4 linked regions of the Callithrix jacchus genome follow. The protein of the gene in region 3 binds, or shares a complex with, the protein of the main gene of each other region. Links are inferred from orthologs where the notes say so. Each region holds a gene or a part of one and is shown on either strand. Other genes may lie near its edges.

Region 1 (4,643 bases), on a different chromosome or scaffold from region 3:
AAACTTGGTGGGAGAACTGTAAGGCACGTGCGTTCCACACTGAAGGGGTGCCTTCCCAGCCACCAGTGAAAGAAACACTAAGACAGAGGATCTGGCCACAGAGAAAAGCTGACTTGATATAAAACTTTAAGAAGTCGACTTTCAGGCTGCTGTTGAAAACCTGAGTGAAGCAGCTCATCCCCACTGTTCTTTATAAACACGTGTGTACACAGGCATCCGTGGGATAAACTGATCTCCATGAAAGAATGGAGAATTTTAAAATGGCAGAGCCATTAAAAATGAAATGCTAGCTGAAAGCCAGTGAGCAGCTATAATCTCCATACTGTGGAGAGAAATCAGATGGACTATGAAACTCTAATGAGAATATCAGAATACAGCAACCCTTCTTGAGCTATACAACCTTAACATGAAGAATAAAACGTGGAAAGTGAGCCACATGACAGAACTGAACCTAACAACCTAATAAGGACGCAAGGACATCTGCAAGCTGAAAGTGTCATCATAATTCATTCTTTGAAAGTTCTGCCCAGTTTTTCGGTATTACTCGATAAAGATGACAGCTGTTAACCCAGTACCAGCTTCTCAAGCACAAAACACCAGGAGAGGTTTAGACACTGCAACTTCAGTGCTTATCTATTCTGAAAAGTGGTAATTCTCTAAAAATACAAAGAGTTGTTGAGCCTTTCTAAGTATAAGATACCTCAATTTCTTAAAACCAAAACAGTGTGTCATAAATTCTATTTTAATGCCTTCAACATGAATTTGGCCCTTATCATCATCAATCATTTATTTTTCTCTCTCATAAATGAAGCATGATAAACAGTTAAAATTCTCAGCAAAATCATCTATAGTTTCGTGTAAAACTCCCCTAAATGAGTCTTCCAGGGCCACGCTGAGCAGAAGCAGCTTCCCACCCAAGCGCCTCTGAACTGTGTGTGAGGAAGCAAAACTCTGGGCGGTTTCTCAAGAACACTCACTGGGAAACAATTCACTACAAGCCCGAAGAGGACCAAATATTTGCAGAGAAATATGAAGCAAGTGTTTTGCCTTTTTTTAATCCAAATACTGATTAGGTTTTAAAGCACTTGATCACTTGCTGACAGCTCAGCCACGGTGCCACCGTTTGGAGTCTAGAAGGAGAAAAAGCGCTAAGTCCTTACGGTGTGAGATGGCACCGAATGTGGCTTGATGGTGGGGTTTCCCACGGACGTGACTTTTGTTTGCTTCTGTAGGTGGTCCACCCATTCCTGCAGATCCTGCTGGTTGTTGCAGGACACTAATATCCGCTCAATCATGCTCCCTAGAAGACAGAAGGAAAAAAACAGGCCGAGTGGAAACACAGGTAAAAAGCGCGTGCATGCACACACACACCCCCGAATTCCACTCAGCCCTTCAACACCACCTCCTGAAATACGCAAGCAAGAATGTGCACGCGGGACAAGCTGCCTCTCCTCCCCGCGACACAGCACTCACACAGCTTGTGCCTATCACCTGATATTTCAAATGCGTTTCTATGATTTTCACTGTCCTCAAGCTTTGTGATTGTCATTCCTGTCGTTGGAAGCTTTCCCTAAAAAAGACCCCCCCACACAAAAAAAAAAACAATTAGTGCTTTTCTAGAAAAAGGTACCATTATTAAGGTAAATACTAAATGATTTTAGAACTGGCAGAGGAACTGTGTTTGTGAACCAAAAAAAGCTCATTTATAGCAGATATATGCATAATACAAAAATCTTTATCTCAAATAATAAATCCTAATACTGTACTGTAATTGAGAAACTCAACTGGCGGCATCTGATGAGCTGCTGCTAAACACAGGCACCAGGACACAAAACATTACACATTATGATTTTTAAAAATTACCATGCCTAACAGTTGTTTTAAATGACATTTTTGCAGGAAAGAAGCATGTATTTGCCTCATAAAGAAATGCAGAGGAAGCTCCAAGTTTAAAGTCAAAATAAGGGTGGGAAATTGAGGCAAGAACACTAATTGCATAACATTCTCCTTTGTAATCCACCAAACAGAAAATAAGCAGTTGTGCTAAATGCTGCACACAGTGCAGAAAATGGGTGGCAACCCAATCCTCCCTGAACACGGCAGAAATCGTAACTGCAACAGGAGATGTCAATGCAGAGACATTGGAAGGGGAACAAACAGTCATTACCAACAAGGCAGAAGTGAACACAAAACCCGTGGCGCAGCTCATAGAAGCCAACAGTGCACGGTGGCCCACCAAATCCTCAGGGAGAGTCCGTGCTGCCTGGGAGCACTCAGTCAGCTTCGGAGCAGGATTCTGCGTGAGCACCTCCAGAGGGAGTGCTGCTCAACCAGTATGGGGGCCATGCCCCCCAGAGAGAACAGGTGGCAGTGCCGCAACCTGGCAGGGGCTCAGATGTCCAGCAAGTAAGAGGCCAGAGAGGCTGCTGATACCCTACAGTGCCCAGGACAGTCTCCCTGAGCCCCCAGCCCTAGGCCACAAATGACCCAGTCCAAAATGTCAGCAGTGCCCAGGCGGAGAATCCCATCCTAAAGCATAGCAGGTAGAAGAGGAGACTGCTGGACATTTCTGTGGCCAAGCGTATTTCAAAAATGCTACACACTGTGAACTCCTTTCCAAGATTCATAATGCACGTAAGTACTTTAACAGCTGTGAGTCCTACGGAAAATAAAACCGCACGACTGTGGCCCATCTGAGCATCAGTGTATAGACCACTATGACTACAGCTAAATCAAACGCTTTTCTAGCATCCCCCAAAGTCAGCGTTCTAATAGTAGAAATGGATACTGATGATACAGAGACCACAGGTCACCACTGTGTTGAGAATGGAAAATAAAATCCAGTTTTGAGATGAGGTCTCCAACAGCCTGTCAACACAACAAGGGAAAAGCCAGTGTGAGCCCCAGCTTCACAGGCAGGGACTCAAGCTTGCCATGAGTGGTACCTCTTCTCCCTTAGGTTAGAGAAGGCCACTGTCTCCAGCCACTAAAATGAGATTCTGGGGATATAAAACAGGGAGCCAGACAGTGCTGACCAGAAAGGACAGAGATTTAGGGTTATCAAGGTCACTGAACAAAGAAGTAGTTGCCAGTTTGGGGGAAAACTCTAGTGGGCACTATCTCAGCCACAGATCACCTCTCTTCAGCAGTGACCTTACAAACTACAGCCTTATTTTCCTGAGTCTGTTCCTATATCTATAACTCACCAATTCTAAAGCACGCGTTTTGGAGTAAGCATATGACAACAAGTCCTCTCTGGGAGGTCGACAAAGCCTCTGTGAAGGCACAGTGTCTACTCAGGTTCTCTAACGTCCCTGCTGGGACAACACAAAACAACACATGCCATAATGAAACACAACCCAGAGAACACGAAGCAGTGACTTCTGCTGCAGTGGTTATGGGGTGACTGGCCAGTCCTCAGAAAGGTGATGGGAAGGATAGGAACCTCTGTAACGTCACAGAAAAAAAAGAATGAAACCTGCCAAGCACATCTACTAGATATACAGAAAAAAATACCAGCTCCTTCATATATCACCCACTATAAACCACCGTCACAACAGAAAAGGCCTTGCTCACCCTCGCACCTCCTTCTCAAATCCGCTCTCACGTTTTCTCAAAGCAAAGCAGGAAAACAAAAATGAAAACAGTTAAATGATCACACATGCTACTTACATCACTTCTATTTGCTCATGCATTTGGGCAGCACTGTGCCACTGACAGAAGATCTCATCCTACACTACCCCACCCCTCTACCCCATAAGCCCTAGCTGAACCCATTTCACAGAACAAAACTACAGCTGGGAGGAGCAAGGTACTCTGCCTGAATTGACATTAGGCAACGACAGAGCCTGACTTGTACCACGGCAGTCTGTGCCCTTATGAGGCTGCTCTACAAATTTACACTTCTTTCCTTTTTTAAACTAGCATAGGATGTGCTTGCATAGTTACAAAACGCACAGAAGCTGTACATCCATCTCTGAATATACAGCACTACACACACAGCACATACACAGATAGATAAATGTTAATATTTAACACAAAATTCAAAGCCAGCTTGAAATTACCCTCAGATCCACAATACACAACGAAATATAACTTTAAATTGTGTTTTACCTGATAGATAAAGCCACTCATCCTAGGACTGGCAGACAACATTAGCAAAACATGTGGGAAGAGTAGAAGATATCTTTCATTCTTTTCCTAATACAAAAAAAAAAAATCCAAAAAATTTCTTAAAAAACATCTACTGACAAATGTGAACACAAATACTTATTTATCCTAGGCCCTATGAAATATTACATGATTTTCTTGTCTAGGTATTTCTATCAAATTTTATCACGTAAATTAAATGGTAACAAAATTATGATAAATTCTGTACTAAGTCTTAAAATATGATTAAGAGAGCTTTATCATATAAGAGAAAGATTTCTAAATTCTTCAAAAACCAAAAGGTAAGAAAGTAAACAGAATGATTAAAAGATCCTGGACTCACAATTAGCCTGTGTAACATCTTGAAAAAATATTTGGTTAAGGAGTTCAGCTCTGTGATTAACCTTTTTCAGGTAAGCTAAAATTTTCTTTTTGTGGTTCAGAGAAAAAGGAGAGAACCTATAAATTTTAGTGGGGTCGGGGGAATAGGTGGA
Region 2 (4,643 bases), on a different chromosome or scaffold from region 3:
TCCATATGGCATCTAGCATGGGACTCCATGTCAGGGAGGGTTTTCATGCTCAGAGGGCTATTGCCATGGAGATGTGGAGCTTGGGGTGGGAAGGTGGCCTCTGTCAGCCTGAGTCCTTCTGAACAGGGCTTTTCCTGTTCAACTCTGGGTTTCTGAGCACCCACGGAGTGGGCCTCAGCCCCCTGACCCGAGGCAGTCACAGAAATGAATGTACAGGGTATTCACCCTCCAGGGAAGTGTCTGGTGGCTCTGCCAAGCCACAAGCCCCCCAAGTCAGGGGCCAAGCCTCAGCATGGCCCAAGGTAGGGGTCTTTGGAGAGGCAGGAAGAGAACAATGGACTGAGCACTTGGACCACTGGAGCCATGAGCCAAAGGACATAGGGGGTTGACAGTAGGAGGTCCGTGGGGGCTAAGCCTGGATCAGGTTTGTCACCAACCCCAGGGTTTGAGCCAACACAAGCAAGGCACAGCTTCTGCACCAGAGGTGGTCTTAACAGGCCCAGCCTGTCTTTACACTTTTCCTCTGCCCCACCGTCAGGGCTGGGGCTTTAGGAAGACACTGCCTGCTCTGTGCTGCTGACTTTGGAAAGAGACTTTACCTAACCTTGGAGCAGGTATCATCTGAGGTGCTTTCCATGTGATGCACTGAAGAAACTGAGGCTCAGAGGAGGATGATTTCCCCAGGACCACAGCAGGGGAGCAGTGGGCCCAGGCCTGGTCTGCATTTGGGTGCCAGATGGCATCAGCCCTGTGCTCTTTGTGCCTGTGTTGGACCCGCTGACCCGGGCCCCGGGCCCCAGCATGTTCACCCTGACAGAGTGTGTGTCTTGGGTACTGTGTAGACTGCCGCATCCCTTCTGCTTCGAGACTCACCTCTCCTCACTGTCCTCATCTGTAAGATGAGAGCAGCAGGGTCCCTGTGGTTCTCACTTGTGTGGGGCTGGTGGTTTGGGACAGCGTATGAGGAAGGGCTCTTAGCAGTGGTGTGCTGGATAAATGTTGGGACGGAGTGACTGCTCAGGCTTGAGGGGAAATGGGCACAGCTCCAGAACTGCAGGCAGCTGCCTGGGTCAGATGGGCTTTCCTTGGGTCTCCGGGGCTGCCCAGGAGCCAAGCTGGCCCCTGCCCCGCAGGCTCACTTGCTAATGTTAACCCCGGAGTAGTCACCTAATCCTCACCTTCTTGTTCTCTGAGACCCAGACTCCTGCAGTGTGGAGAAGGTTCCCACCAGTCTCTGTGATGACCCTTCCCCCAGATCTGTCTTAAGACAGAAAGGAGAGAGTGGAGAGAAGTGACTGCCTCCCGGGAGGGGCAGGGGCAGGGCAGATGGGTGGGACGTGGCTACCAGCTTGGCCCAGCCTGCAGGGGTGGGGCCCAGGTTGACACACCTACTGCAACCCCAGGTCCCATCTGATGCCAAGGCTGAAGGAGTCTCGCTCCCACGAGTCCCTGCTCAGCCCCAGCAGTGCAGTGGAGGCGCTGGACCTCAGCATGGAGGAAGAGGTGGTCATCAAGCCTGTGCACAGCAGCATCCTTGGCCAAGACTACTGCTTTGAGGTGGGTCCCATCTCAGGGGTTGGGGTGGATACCCCATCCTTTCCTGGCCTGGCTGGTCTCCTACAGACAACCTCCTGGAGTCCAGTCTGCTGTGGCCTCAGCAGGGGCTGGGGTCATGAGGGTAGTGGCCAGGCTCTTGGGGACAGTGGCTATTATTTACTGATACCTTTCAGCTCCTAAGAGACCAAGTGGAGCTGGGGTGGGGGCTGTCCTTTCTGTTCTCTAGACTCTCAGAAAAGGGGCCAACACCTATTCTCCATGCTAACATGAAGCTGCTGTTGCCCCCAGTGGGTGACGGTGAGTAGGGGAAAAGCCTGAATTTCTGAAGCACCAGAGCCCGTGTCTTAGAGCTCACTCACCCCCAAATGCAGTTTTCTTACAAAAACAGAATGGTACCCCAAATGCGGTGTGGATAGCACAGAGTCTCCCCTTTTCTGGGCCTGTTTCCTGCTGTGAACAATAAAAGCCCAAATCTTTGCTGCCCTGGCATTCTGCGACCTGAGGTTGTACTGCAGAGTCAGTTATCCACCCTGGGCAAGGGTGTTACCTGGGGATGACCTGTCTAGTCCCTCATAGTAAATGGGGATCTGAGACTCAGAGAAGGCACGAAGACATCAGAGGTCACACAGCAAGGCTGAGACCAAGCCAGGAGTAGGGTTACTATTGCTGTAGGTATTCCTGGGAGTTCCTCCTAATTGCTTCTCCAGTTATTCATATTGCTTCCTACTGGTTTCTGGGAAGATTCCTACCCCCAATAATCATGCGTTATGCAGAGAACTCTCTGGTAGAGGAATGAGCCTGATAATGGAAAGCAGCCACTTGGGGACTAATGTGACAATCTCCTGGCACACCTAGCCCTGGGGAAAAGACAGAATGGTACCTGGCACCTACCCCATACCCTGTGCCCACTGGGTGCCATTTCTGGTTCAGGACCCCTGACCAAGCTGGGCTTGATCTGAGCTCTGACTTCCTTGCCAGAGATAGGGTGAAGATGGCCCTGTCTGCTGGTTCACAGCAGGAGGTGCTATGGAGTGTACAGGCCCTCGAGTGCCTGGTGGAGTGTGCTTCCCCTGCAGAACCCTGGGTCTGCTGTTGGGGGCAGTGGGAACACACAGAAGGAATCGCTCCAACTGGCTCCCTTACCTGGAGGGGATGTCTAAGTTGGACCTGAGGATGAGTGAGTGATAGACAGGGAGGGGAGGAGAAGGGTCAGGGACCAGGGACCCTGGGGCCTGGTACATCCAAACAGTCCGAGTCTCATTTTCTGGTCTGGTGTAAAAAATACCAGGCTTATATTACCATCGTTGTCACTGTTGCTTGGCAGAAGAGAACCCTCAGAGATGTCAGCTGAGGATTGAGGGACTGTGGTACCTTTCATTATCTCCTTGGTTCTTGTGGTTTCGCCTTTAGGGCAAGTACACTTGGGTTAAGCATTGCCCTCTGACCTGGGTAAGGTCTTCGTTCCTTCCCTCTTCCCATCTCAGGGAGAGGGAGGATAGAGTTAGAAAGATGTTTTCCTACTGAACAGAGGGCACTGAAGGATGAGTGAGGAGCCCACTGGTGCAGGACTGGGCCACTCTTTGGCTGCTGACTTGCCCTGGGACAGTGGGTCTCAGTGTACTACCTGTAAAATGTGAAATAGAGGCATCATGTGAGCCTTGTCCTGGCTCCTTCTTGAGGCTGTGATGCAGGCCTGGTGACCAGAGTCCTCTGAGCTTCAAAGGTCTTCTTCTATCCTTGTCTGCCCTTACTGTGGTCCCTTCCCTTGTAACATTGCCTTGCCTGCTCCCCACAGGTGACGACATCATCAGGAAGCAAGTGCTTTTCCTGCCGGTCTGCAGCTGAGCGGGATAAGTGGATGGAGAACCTGCGGCGGGCGGTGCACCCCAACAAGGTAAGCCTGCGCCCCTCTCACCAAATCATAGGGGATCAATGGTAGGCTCAGACACAGGGAAGCAAGAGAGATGATCTCTGTGGTGTGGCCTGGGATTGGCAGTGGTCAGCCTGCGTGGAGGCAGGACTCAAGTGGACAATACTGGTGGACTCTGAAAGGCATGTTTGATTGGCCAGGTTGAGACACGTGCTGCGTGCCTCTGTTCTCTAAGCTACACGTTGAGGCTGGGCTGGGGCACCTGGGGTCCTTCCACTGGGACCCCTTGTCCCTACTCTCCAGCCCCTGACCAACTTCTGCTCATTGTCCAATTCCAGCTTAGATGTCTGCCCCTCCTCCAGGTGAGGAGCCCTGTCCCAGGTTGGTGCCCTCTGTGTTCCCACTGCCCCTGGGCTCCTCCATCAGGTCCTAGGAGCCCCACAGACACAGACAGACACTGCTTCTTTGTCTGTCTTCCTAGCAGACTTGAGGGCCTGATCAAGTCCTGGTCACCATAGTCATCTCTTAAGTTACTTTACAGACCAGCAAATTAAGGAAGAGTTAATAATGACTTCATAGCCTGTGACGTGCCAGGCATTGTGCTGGCCTCCTTTAGTCTCGCCCTTCATGAGATGGGGGTTATCTTAGTTCTGTTTTATAGACAAGCAAGCCAAGGCTCCAGTTAAGTCACTTACCCAAGGTGAGTGAGCTTGTGCGAGGTTGACCAGAGATCCAGCCTTTGTCCATCAGGCCCCGCCTCATTCTGACTCAGGGCCTAGGTGCCCACTGCCGCCTCCACCTTCAGAGCTCCTCCTGGGTCTGAGGACTCTCTCAGACTCTGGGCTGGTTGGGGGTTGCGTGTGACACCCCCAAGCTGACCACCCTGGACCCCCTGTGCACATGCAGGACAACAGCCGGCGTGTGGAGCACATCCTGAAGCTGTGGGTGATCGAAGCCAAGGACCTGCCCGCCAAGAAGAAGTACCTTTGTGAGCTGTGTCTGGACGATGTGCTCTACGCCCGCACCACGGGCAAGCTCAAGACGGACAATGTTTTCTGGGGCGAGCACTTCGAGTTCCACAACTTGCCGCCCCTACGCACAGTCACTGTCCACCTGTACCGGGAGACTGACAAGAAGAAGAAGAAGGAGCGCAACAGTTACCTGGGCCTGGTGAGCCTGCCCGCTGCCTCAGTGGCTGGGCGGCAGTTCGTGGAGA
Region 3 (5,207 bases):
TAGCAAAAAAACAAGTAACCCAATTTTAAAACAGTCAAAGATATGAATGGACATTTTTCAAAAAAAGACATATAAACAGCCAACAGGTACATGAAAAAAATGCTCAACCATCAGAGAAATGCAAATCAACACCACAATGTGGTATCATCTCACTCCAGTAAAAATGGCTTATATCAAAAAAACAGGCAGAGGCTGGGTATGTTGGCTCACGCCTGTAATCCCAACACTTTCGGAGGCCAAGACAGGCAGATCACTTGAGCCCAGGAATTCATGACCAGCTTGGGCACCATAGGGAGACCACACCTCTAAGAAAAAAATTTATTTATTTTTTTAATTAACTAGGCATGTTGGCATGTGCCTGCAGTCCCAACTACTTGAGAGGTTAAGGTAGGAGAACTGCTGGAACCTGGGAGGTTGAAGTTGCAGGAGGCTATGATTGTGCCATAGCACTCCAGCCTGGGCAACAGAGCAAGACCCTGTCTGAAAAAAAAGAAAGAAAAAGATAGGCAATAATAGATGATGGCAAGGATGGAGAGAAAGAAGAACCCTCATATGCTGTCAGTGAAAATGTGAATTAGTAGAGCCACTAAGGAGAATAGTATGGAAGTTCCTAAAAAACTAAAAATAGAACTACCATATGATTCAGCAATTCCACTATTGGGTATATATCTAAAAGAAAGGAAATCAATATATGAAGGAGATAACGCACTCCCATGAATACTGTGGCACTATTCATAAAAGCTAAAATGAAAATGTGTGTGTGTGTGTGTGTGTTACACATGTAACACAATGGAATATTATTCAGTCATAAAAAAAGAATGAAATCCTGTCATTTTCAGCAACATAGATGACATTGGAGGCCATTTTGTCAGGTACAGGAAGACAAATATCACATGTTCTCACTCATATATGGAAGGTAAAAAAGTGTATCTCATGATGATAGAGTAGACTGGTGGTTACCAAAGGCCAGGAAAGGGAGTGGTGAGGATGAAGAAGGAGAAAAGGATATAAATGTCCTTATTAAAATGGAACTGTACACTTAAACATGATAAACATGGTAAATGCTTTCACATTTTTTAACTAAAAAAAATTTGCTGAGTAGAAATCAGTCCAAAAAGCCGGTCAGCAAAGGGGAAGATAATTAACCTACATAGTCCTCTTCCCCACACTATAATCTTTCTCTTTCTACATATACCCTGACCCCAAATAACCCCTATCTTGTCCAGGCTACCGTCTTTTTCAAAGAGCACTGTCTTCTCCCCCAGGCCTCCTCCTCCTCCTCCTGTCCCTCTATCCTGCTATCCTCCCTCTTCTTCCCTGGGCTACCTCCTTTTCTCCAGATCAGCACTACCTCACAGCTGCCAGAGTCTCTGGTCCTCCCAGTCATTCATCTCACTAAAGGGAACTTGAACCTCTGCCCAACACTACTTGACATTTTTGCTCTCCTCCCACTCAAGCCCCCCACTTCCCATCTTGCTTATTACCTACTGCCTACCTGCTGCCCCACCACCACCAGAAAAGAAGACAGGAAACAAATGCAGGAAGAAGAATTGCTTGTTGGCAGGCCCAAGGCAAAGCATAGAGGCAGTAAGGAGAGAGAATGGTATTTGGGGAAGATAGAATTTGGAGGTAAAAGCTAGAAGCAAGTGAGTTAGGTAGAAAACAATGTTTGGACCTCACAAACACAGCAGAAGGTCCCTAAAAACCAGTAACCTACTAACAATGAGAAAGCTTAACCAAAAATTTTAAGAAAAGAGAAGAAAGCCTAATCGAGAGGAGGAGGATCCGAGAGAAGGAAGGAAAGACTGGCTACAGAGGGGGAGAAATAGGAAAGGGGAAGCACGAGGGGAGGAGGAAGGGTGAAGAGAGGGTGGGAGAAAAGGTAGGCAGGAGGCAGGGCTAAGACAGGAAAAATCAGGAGGAGAAAATAGAAGAGTGAGGAGAGGAAGAAGACGTAGAGTCATCAAAAAACTGGGGGAAGGAAAGAGTTCCAAAATAATTAAAGTAGGTTATTATCAGGCCTGACATGAACTTCTTGGTGCCAGATAATAAAGAAGGAAGGAATTATAGTGATTAAGATATTACCACAGCCAGGTCTGTCATTAACTTAGCAGAATAAGGAAGGAGCTCCAGAGAAGAGAGTCTAGTTTAAAGCAACTTTATACCTAAAGACAGAAAAATTGGCCAGTTTAGAACCATTAACATACCTTGACCTTCTACTTCCCAACCCTGCCTCCCTACACCTAACACACCTACACACCACACTAAAATAAGCATTAGCATTCTCAAGCCTCTGCCTTGCCTCTGAAGAACCAGCAAGAGGCCATTCAAAAGGCTGGCTGGAAAACAGTATGGTCTATTTCCCAAGTTCTCCTCTCTTCTGCAGTGTTGAGGGGAACATCTCTGCAGCCCATTTTAGCATTTTAAACCAGCTCACCTTTCCAAAAGATGGTCTGAAGGCTTGGAAAGCCAGAGTAACAAACAATGTCAAGTCCTTCACTGCACAGATAAGGCAACTGAAGATGTCTGAATAGGACCAGTCCTCCCAGGTCTCCTGTCTCCCAGTTCACTCAACCTCTTAACAGAGAAAAGCCCCACAGTCCCAACAGGCCAGCTGCCAAGCCAAGATAGAGGAAAACATCACCTTGGCCACCAAGCAGAAGGGGGCTTGCAAAGAAGCAGAGTTCCTGAGGCAGAGCAGTTCCCCAAAGGCGCAGCTTCCCCTTTACCCACTTCCCTGAGCAGAGCTCCGATTCCAGTGCAGGCCTAGTTCTGGGTGGGCTCATCTAAAGGTTCCATACCCTCAGCCCCTTCTCTCATTTAGGGTCCCTTAAGGTAAGAGGAAAGTAAGATACCCCTCAAAATCTACTGAACCCCGTGTCACCACTCTCTGAAGGCCTGCGGAGATTCCTCCAGAACCCGGCCCATCTAGGCAAGCCCCACGCAGGGCCAGCATTACCTGGTGGGGAAGGCTGGCCCCGGCATCTCTGGCGATTGTTTCTGTCGCAGAGCTGCACCTCTCCCTGCCCAGCCGGGTTCCCGCAAGGCCCCGTCTCCAAGGGCTCCGCTCAATTCGGCTGGGCTGGGCTGCTCTGGGCTCCTGGCAGCTCAGCCGCCAGCTCCCGAGGTGCAGCACGCTCGCGCCCTCGCAGGGCGGCAGCGAAGGCGCTGCGTCGGGGTTGGTGAAACAGAAGGGGCGGGGGAAGAAAGGAGGGAAGGAGGCGGGAGGAAGCCGCGCGCGCTTCTCCTCTTCTGCAAAGCAGCGCTAAGGGCGGGGAGAGGGCTATCTTCCCACACCCAGTCTCCAGCAAGAGGTAATTTCTCTCCAAGGCCAGGTTTTTCAGTGCTTGTCAGAGTCCTGCGTGAGCTCCAGAGTCAAGGAATGCAACCAGTGCTCCTCTGTGCTTTAGTTTCTACAGCTGAGTATAGAGGAGTCTCTTCTAGGATTCCTCAGGTTAGACCTAGGATTCAGATTAGGCCTCAGAGAAAGAGATACACTTCCTCCCTCCCCCAACGTGCCAGGTTCTAATTCTAATGCTCCAGGAAGAGCTAGGTGGGCCCTTGTAGCTGCTTCTAAGCAATGAAAGCTTAGCAGCTACTACCTCATCATCATCATCATCATCATCATCATCATTATTTTGAGACAGTCTTGCTGTGTACCCAGGCTCCAGTGCAGTGGCTGGATCTTGGCTTACTGCAGCCTCGAACTCCCTGGGCTCAGATGATCCTCCTGCCTCAGCCTCCCAAGTAGCTGGGACTATAGGTGCCCACCACCACACCTGGTTATTTTTGTATTTTTTTTGTACAGATAGGGTCTGTCATGTTGCCCAGGCTGGTCTCAAACTCCTGTTCTCAAGCAATCCTCCTGTCTCGCCCTCCCAAACTATGGACTACAGGCGTGAGCCACCACATCTGGCCACTGCTATCATTTATTAAGAACTATTGTGTACCAGGTACTTTATAAATTCTATGTCTCTCTCAAAACAACCTTATGAGGTAGGCACTATACCAATTCATATATGTCAAAACAGAGGTCCAGGGAAAATGTGGGCTCATACAATAAGTATTTTTTAACCAACTATTGTGTTTTTGTGTATCAGGCGTTGTGAAGGAACCTGAGCTGAACAACACAGTATAGAAACCAACATGGTCCAGACTAGTAGTGCCTCTAGTAGTGCCGCCCAATTACTGAAACAATAAAACACACCTTCACGCATTTGCAAATGCTCCCTAGGAGGCAGTATTACCCCACTTCTCCCCCTCCCAAACCCTGCTCTTAAGAGACCTGACAGAAGTCAGATTATGTGGTGTCTCTTTCGGGTCATAACTAGGAGTTAGGCTTTTGTCACAAGTTTTAGCTGTGGGAAGGCTCTGGTAGGTTTGAAAGCAGAATGACAAACTCTAACTTACATATTTTAAAAGATCACTGGCTGTTTAGTGGAGAAAGGGGTAGGAGTGGAAATAAGAAAACAAGTTAATGTTCTCTCAGAGATTCAGATAACAGAAAATGGTAATGATTTAGACTAACACATTGTAAGATAACATAAAAAGAAGCAAGCATATTTTCTAAAGACACTTAGAAAAAGCAACAGCAGAACTTGGTGGAAAACAGAATACGATGAGTGAAAGAAGTCAGTGACTTCCCCAAGACCACATATCTGGTAAATGCTCAGCCCTCCTGTCCCTGGTCTAACTTCTAAGCCAATGTTTACTTATTTATTTATTTCTCTCTGCCATACTATGTACAAGAGACCACCATTAGTTATCTCTGTATCAATTGCTGTATCCCTCTTTCTATTGCCAACAAAGAGCAGGTAACTCTTCAGGATTAAGCCTGAAGAATGAATTAAATGGGCTAGAGAGAAACTTTATGGTATCTATCCATTTTCTCTGACAAATGTCTACACCTCCATTCAATGTGCCTAAATTAGTCTAATTGCAGGGGATGTAAGGAAAGAACTCCATGAAGAAAGAACCTGCCTCTCCTGTTAAGTATCATTCGCCCTTCCCAGGCCCTAAATACTCATGCTGTTCCAACTAACAGAAGTCCCAAATTTGATAGAAAAGACAGAGAATTTACTGAGGATACCACATTAAAGAATGAATTTGGTCAGCCAGGCACAGTGACTCAACCTGTAATCCCACCACTTTGGGAGACTGAGGTGGTAGATCACTGGAAGTCAGTTCAAGACCAGCCTGGCCAACAT
Region 4 (3,496 bases), on a different chromosome or scaffold from region 3:
ACATTTATAGGCATCCATCAAATATATTGTAAAGGCAATTTTGATCAGCACTTTGGCCTCACTTACCAGTGACCCTCCCTATCTGGCCAAATTTTTCTTGTCTTTAGGGGAGGGAGGGTGAGTTGCACTCAGCCTTAGGCCACCTTTCAATGGTGCTGAATTTGGGCGTGTGCTGTTCTGTGACTCTCTTCTAAACCTGGTTTCTCACAGTGTTAGTTTCTGGGATAAAGTGGATGGTTTGACTCAATGAGCAACTTGAGATAATCAGTCCCAAATAATCCAGCACAACTAGAGGGGCCCTTTGGTTCTGGATATACAAATTGGACCAGAAGCATATTTCTTCAAATACTGCTTAGAGTCCCACCCAAAGAGGCCAATGAATATTACAATTTCTCACAGCATACAAGAGAGAGTAATAAGGTGAATGAAAGCGGTCTACTAGGGCACAATATCTCCTTAATGCAGATAGTTTTGAAGGATAAAAGGTCACAGTTTGGATATGCAATGTACATAAGGTAATTGCTCACAGTCTAACTATGTTTTTTAAAAAGTAAGCGAAGCACATACATACTAGTTTACACACCACTTGGTACAGTTGGCTAAAAGCACTGGGGAAATAGAAAACTTACACACTAGGCAGAAGGTGAGGGAAAGAAACCTATCATGCAATGGGAAAAGGCAGTTAACTCTGCTACTGAGAGGGAGGATTGTCCAATAGAACTTGCTGATGGATTTGGTGTTGGTGTGGGTGACCAGAGCTTCTGCCCCCTGAGTTACAATGTACACAACACAAAAGGAATAAAAGTAGTACATTTTTCTTGGTTTTATAGACAACATAGGGCAGTAGTTTTAAAACCTGTGATTGACAGGTAGCCTGTGATGGTCTAAGGAAGGGCAGCTGGATCACTGGGTAGATGTGTTTGTCTTTCATCTTACTCTAGCCGTAGCTCTGGAAGATTTGCCTTCAGTAAATTAGGTACTAACAGGCTTGCAGGCAGAGGAAAGCACTAGGGGGACAAGTTGGGCTCACATTTAATAAGCCTTGGCCAGCTGCTTTGCGAGGGCAGCCAGCCCGCCCAGAGAATGTGACCCGAGGGCAATGGCTGTTGCGGAGGCACTGTGAACTGAAGGCAATCTGAAGACCCTTTAAGTAATTGGCCTGAGTTCGCTTTCCTTTTCTTACTGAACGGAAAAGACTCTGGGGCCATTTCTACCACCACCTCCTGCTTTTTCCCGTTGAAAAAAAACGAACAACCAAACAACAACAAATGCCCAAGCACGCGCGCGCGTGCACACACACACACACTCACACACACAGGAGAGAGAGGGAAGAGAGAGAGAGAGCGAGAGAGAGATACAGACTCAAACACAAAACAAAAGCCAAAGAAGTGAGCAAACTGAGTCAAATCATTCAGAGGCACATTTCAAGATGCCCTGAAGGCACACTCCACCCGGTGGCACAGTGATGGTTATGGAAGAATCGAGGTCTTGCTAGTGGACTCGGCTCGAATACATTCATCTGTTTGCTTCAAAAGCCTCCGAACCAGCTTTTCTAGGTCCTTTCTTGACTTCAATTCTTCTTCCAGGCATTGTTTCATTCTTTTATTTTCCTATGATGGGGAAAGATTTGTTGATTACCGAACAGAGGGGGGCCCTTCCCAGGGCTCCTCCTGCTCATCCTTTGGGCAGTTTTCATCACTGACTACCTTTCCTTCCTCAACCTCCGCTCCCTCAGCATCTATGACAAAGCAGCCCGTCGATTCTCCTGCCTGTCTCTGGGAAGCCTTTTGGATTCTTCTTCCCTGCCCTGACCCTCTTCTAATTTAACTGGCTCTTTAGTGTCGCTTCTCTTTCAAATCAAGTGTCTATTAAGCAGACTACCAAATATCTCTGGTACTGATCTTGTCTCCTGAGAACCAGGTCTACAATCTCAAATGCCAGCTTGGTATTATTATTATTATTATTTTAAGCGATGGGGGTCTCACTCTTTCGCTAGGCTGGAGAGCAGTGACGTAATCATGACTCACTGTAGCCTCAAACTCCCGGGCTTAAGTGATCCTTTCACGTACCTGAGATTACCTGGCAGCAGCTTGGTGTTTCCACCTAGATATGTCACAAGCACCTCGAACTCATCAGATCCTAAAGTGAACTCAGTATCTCTCTCAACACCCTAAACTTCTCCTTCTCCTGTGGTTCCTGAACTCCATGAAGGGCACTACCATATGCAACTGGACACCCAGGAAAGAAGCTTCACCTTTAATCCCTGGCTCTTTCTTAATCTCAAAATCACACTATCCTCATCTATATGTTCAAACTCTACAATGTCCCATCCTTTACTTTCACTCTGCTCTTTCCCAGCCTCATTGCCCTGCCTCAGTTCAGGACTTTGACATGTCTCACCCTGAGTTTTGTAAGAACCTCCTAAGTGGTCTTCCAGTCCCTGGTCTCTCTCCCCTGCCATCCATCCTTCACTCTGTCACCCGATACAGTCAGTTCTCACACACAAGGCACAGTGTGTGTCACGGAGCAATGGACCACATCAGCAGAAAAGCCCACAAACAATGATTAATGGTTCTCTTTACACTTACACAGTCATGAATGACTAGTCTTTTCTTAAGGTCTGTTTACGGATGTCAGAGAACAGGAAAGTTGTAACTAACTTTGGGAGTCTATTGTGAACTACTACATAGAAATATAAGCGAATATCAGAAATTTAAACTCAAGGCTCCATTATAAAGTCGACAAAACCTACCTTGATAACACAAGAAAAATAAAAATCTCCCCCTCACTACCTTGCTCCTAGGCCCTCCCTGACAGCATGACGGGTGTGAGTCAAGGAAAAGACAATGGTTTTGTCATCCGAGAAAATGACTTTTATGTTTTATTACCTGCTTCAGTTCTTTGACCTCGTCCTTCAAGGCGTAAACAGTATCAACAAGGCTCCTAGAACATAGAGATAAAATTCAGAGACAAATGGCTTGCACCGACGTACTGTTAAAATACTTGACAATAAAAGCCACTTTATGAGAATACAGATCCTGAAAAACAGTGGACTTTCTAGCAGGAACGGTACTGCTCTGAATGGTCTCTATCGTCTTTATTTTGATGGAGGAACAACCACCAGCACACATGCTTAGCTAAAGACAACGTCATTACCCCTTTTCTATACTTCCCTTCTCCTTTCCTATTCACTTCCCAGCCTGGGTGAACAAAATACAAGAGATCAAGGCCCATCACAAAGTTTTTGTTTTTCCAGCTTGGTTGAGGGATAATTGACAAAAGTGTGCAATGTGATGTCTTGATATATCAAGATATAAGTGGTCACCAGAATCAAGCTAATTAATATATCCACCTCCTCACATAGTTACCTTTTGTATGTGTGTGGTAGAAACACTCAAAATCTACACTCTTAGCAAAATCTACACTCTTATACTGCATTGTAAACTACACAGTCTTCCTTCCCTTGGTATCCACGGGTTATTGGTTCAAGGACGCC

Evidence for each region. The genes of interacting proteins can lie anywhere in the genome.
Region 1: the proteins of PAK1 (region 3) and ARHGEF7 are in contact, whole or in part, in an NMR structure (PDB 1ZSG), measured with the Homo sapiens proteins. The link is inferred for Callithrix jacchus from reciprocal best matches to the Homo sapiens genes PAK1 and ARHGEF7. Residues at the interface, in NP_001363202.1 of Homo sapiens: Thr185, Pro186, Pro188, Val189, Ile190, Ala191, Pro192, Arg193, Lys198, Arg203, Ser204; in NP_001106983.1 of Homo sapiens: Lys192, Phe193, Phe195, Thr198, Asp201, Glu202, Glu217, Gly220, Trp221, Trp232, Pro234, Ser235, Asn236, Tyr237.
Region 2: PAK1 (region 3) and DAB2IP share a complex: the UniProt entries of both Homo sapiens proteins name them as parts of the cytoplasmic complex. The link is inferred for Callithrix jacchus from reciprocal best matches to the Homo sapiens genes PAK1 and DAB2IP.
Region 4: PAK1 (region 3) and ARHGEF6 share a complex: the UniProt entries of both Homo sapiens proteins name them as parts of the cytoplasmic complex. The link is inferred for Callithrix jacchus from reciprocal best matches to the Homo sapiens genes PAK1 and ARHGEF6.

Annotation. Positions count from the first base shown.
Region 1 is NC_133502.1:26,827,388-26,832,030, reverse strand, and holds part of ARHGEF7 (rho guanine nucleotide exchange factor 7), read right to left. Parts: intron 4,201-4,643; coding exon 4,114-4,200; intron 1,571-4,113; coding exon 1,492-1,570; intron 1,301-1,491; coding exon 1,161-1,300; intron 1-1,160. UniProt on the Homo sapiens protein: Acts as a RAC1 guanine nucleotide exchange factor (GEF) and can induce membrane ruffling. Functions in cell migration, attachment and cell spreading. Promotes targeting of RAC1 to focal adhesions. May function as a positive regulator of apoptosis.
Region 2 is NC_133502.1:170,246,005-170,250,647, forward strand, and holds part of DAB2IP (disabled homolog 2-interacting protein), read left to right. Parts: intron 1-1,403; coding exon 1,404-1,557; intron 1,558-3,352; coding exon 3,353-3,451; intron 3,452-4,333; coding exon 4,334-4,643. UniProt on the Homo sapiens protein: Functions as a scaffold protein implicated in the regulation of a large spectrum of both general and specialized signaling pathways.
Region 3 is NC_133511.1:63,524,428-63,529,634, reverse strand, and holds the start of PAK1 (serine/threonine-protein kinase PAK 1), read right to left. Parts: upstream 3,168-5,207; 5' UTR 2,960-3,167; intron 1-2,959. UniProt on the Homo sapiens protein: Protein kinase involved in intracellular signaling pathways downstream of integrins and receptor-type kinases that plays an important role in cytoskeleton dynamics, in cell adhesion, migration, proliferation, apoptosis, mitosis, and in vesicle-mediated transport processes.
Region 4 is NC_133524.1:133,467,387-133,470,882, forward strand, and holds part of ARHGEF6 (rho guanine nucleotide exchange factor 6), read right to left. Parts: intron 2,944-3,496; coding exon 2,889-2,943; intron 1,611-2,888; coding exon 1,470-1,610; 3' UTR 1-1,469. UniProt on the Homo sapiens protein: Acts as a RAC1 guanine nucleotide exchange factor (GEF).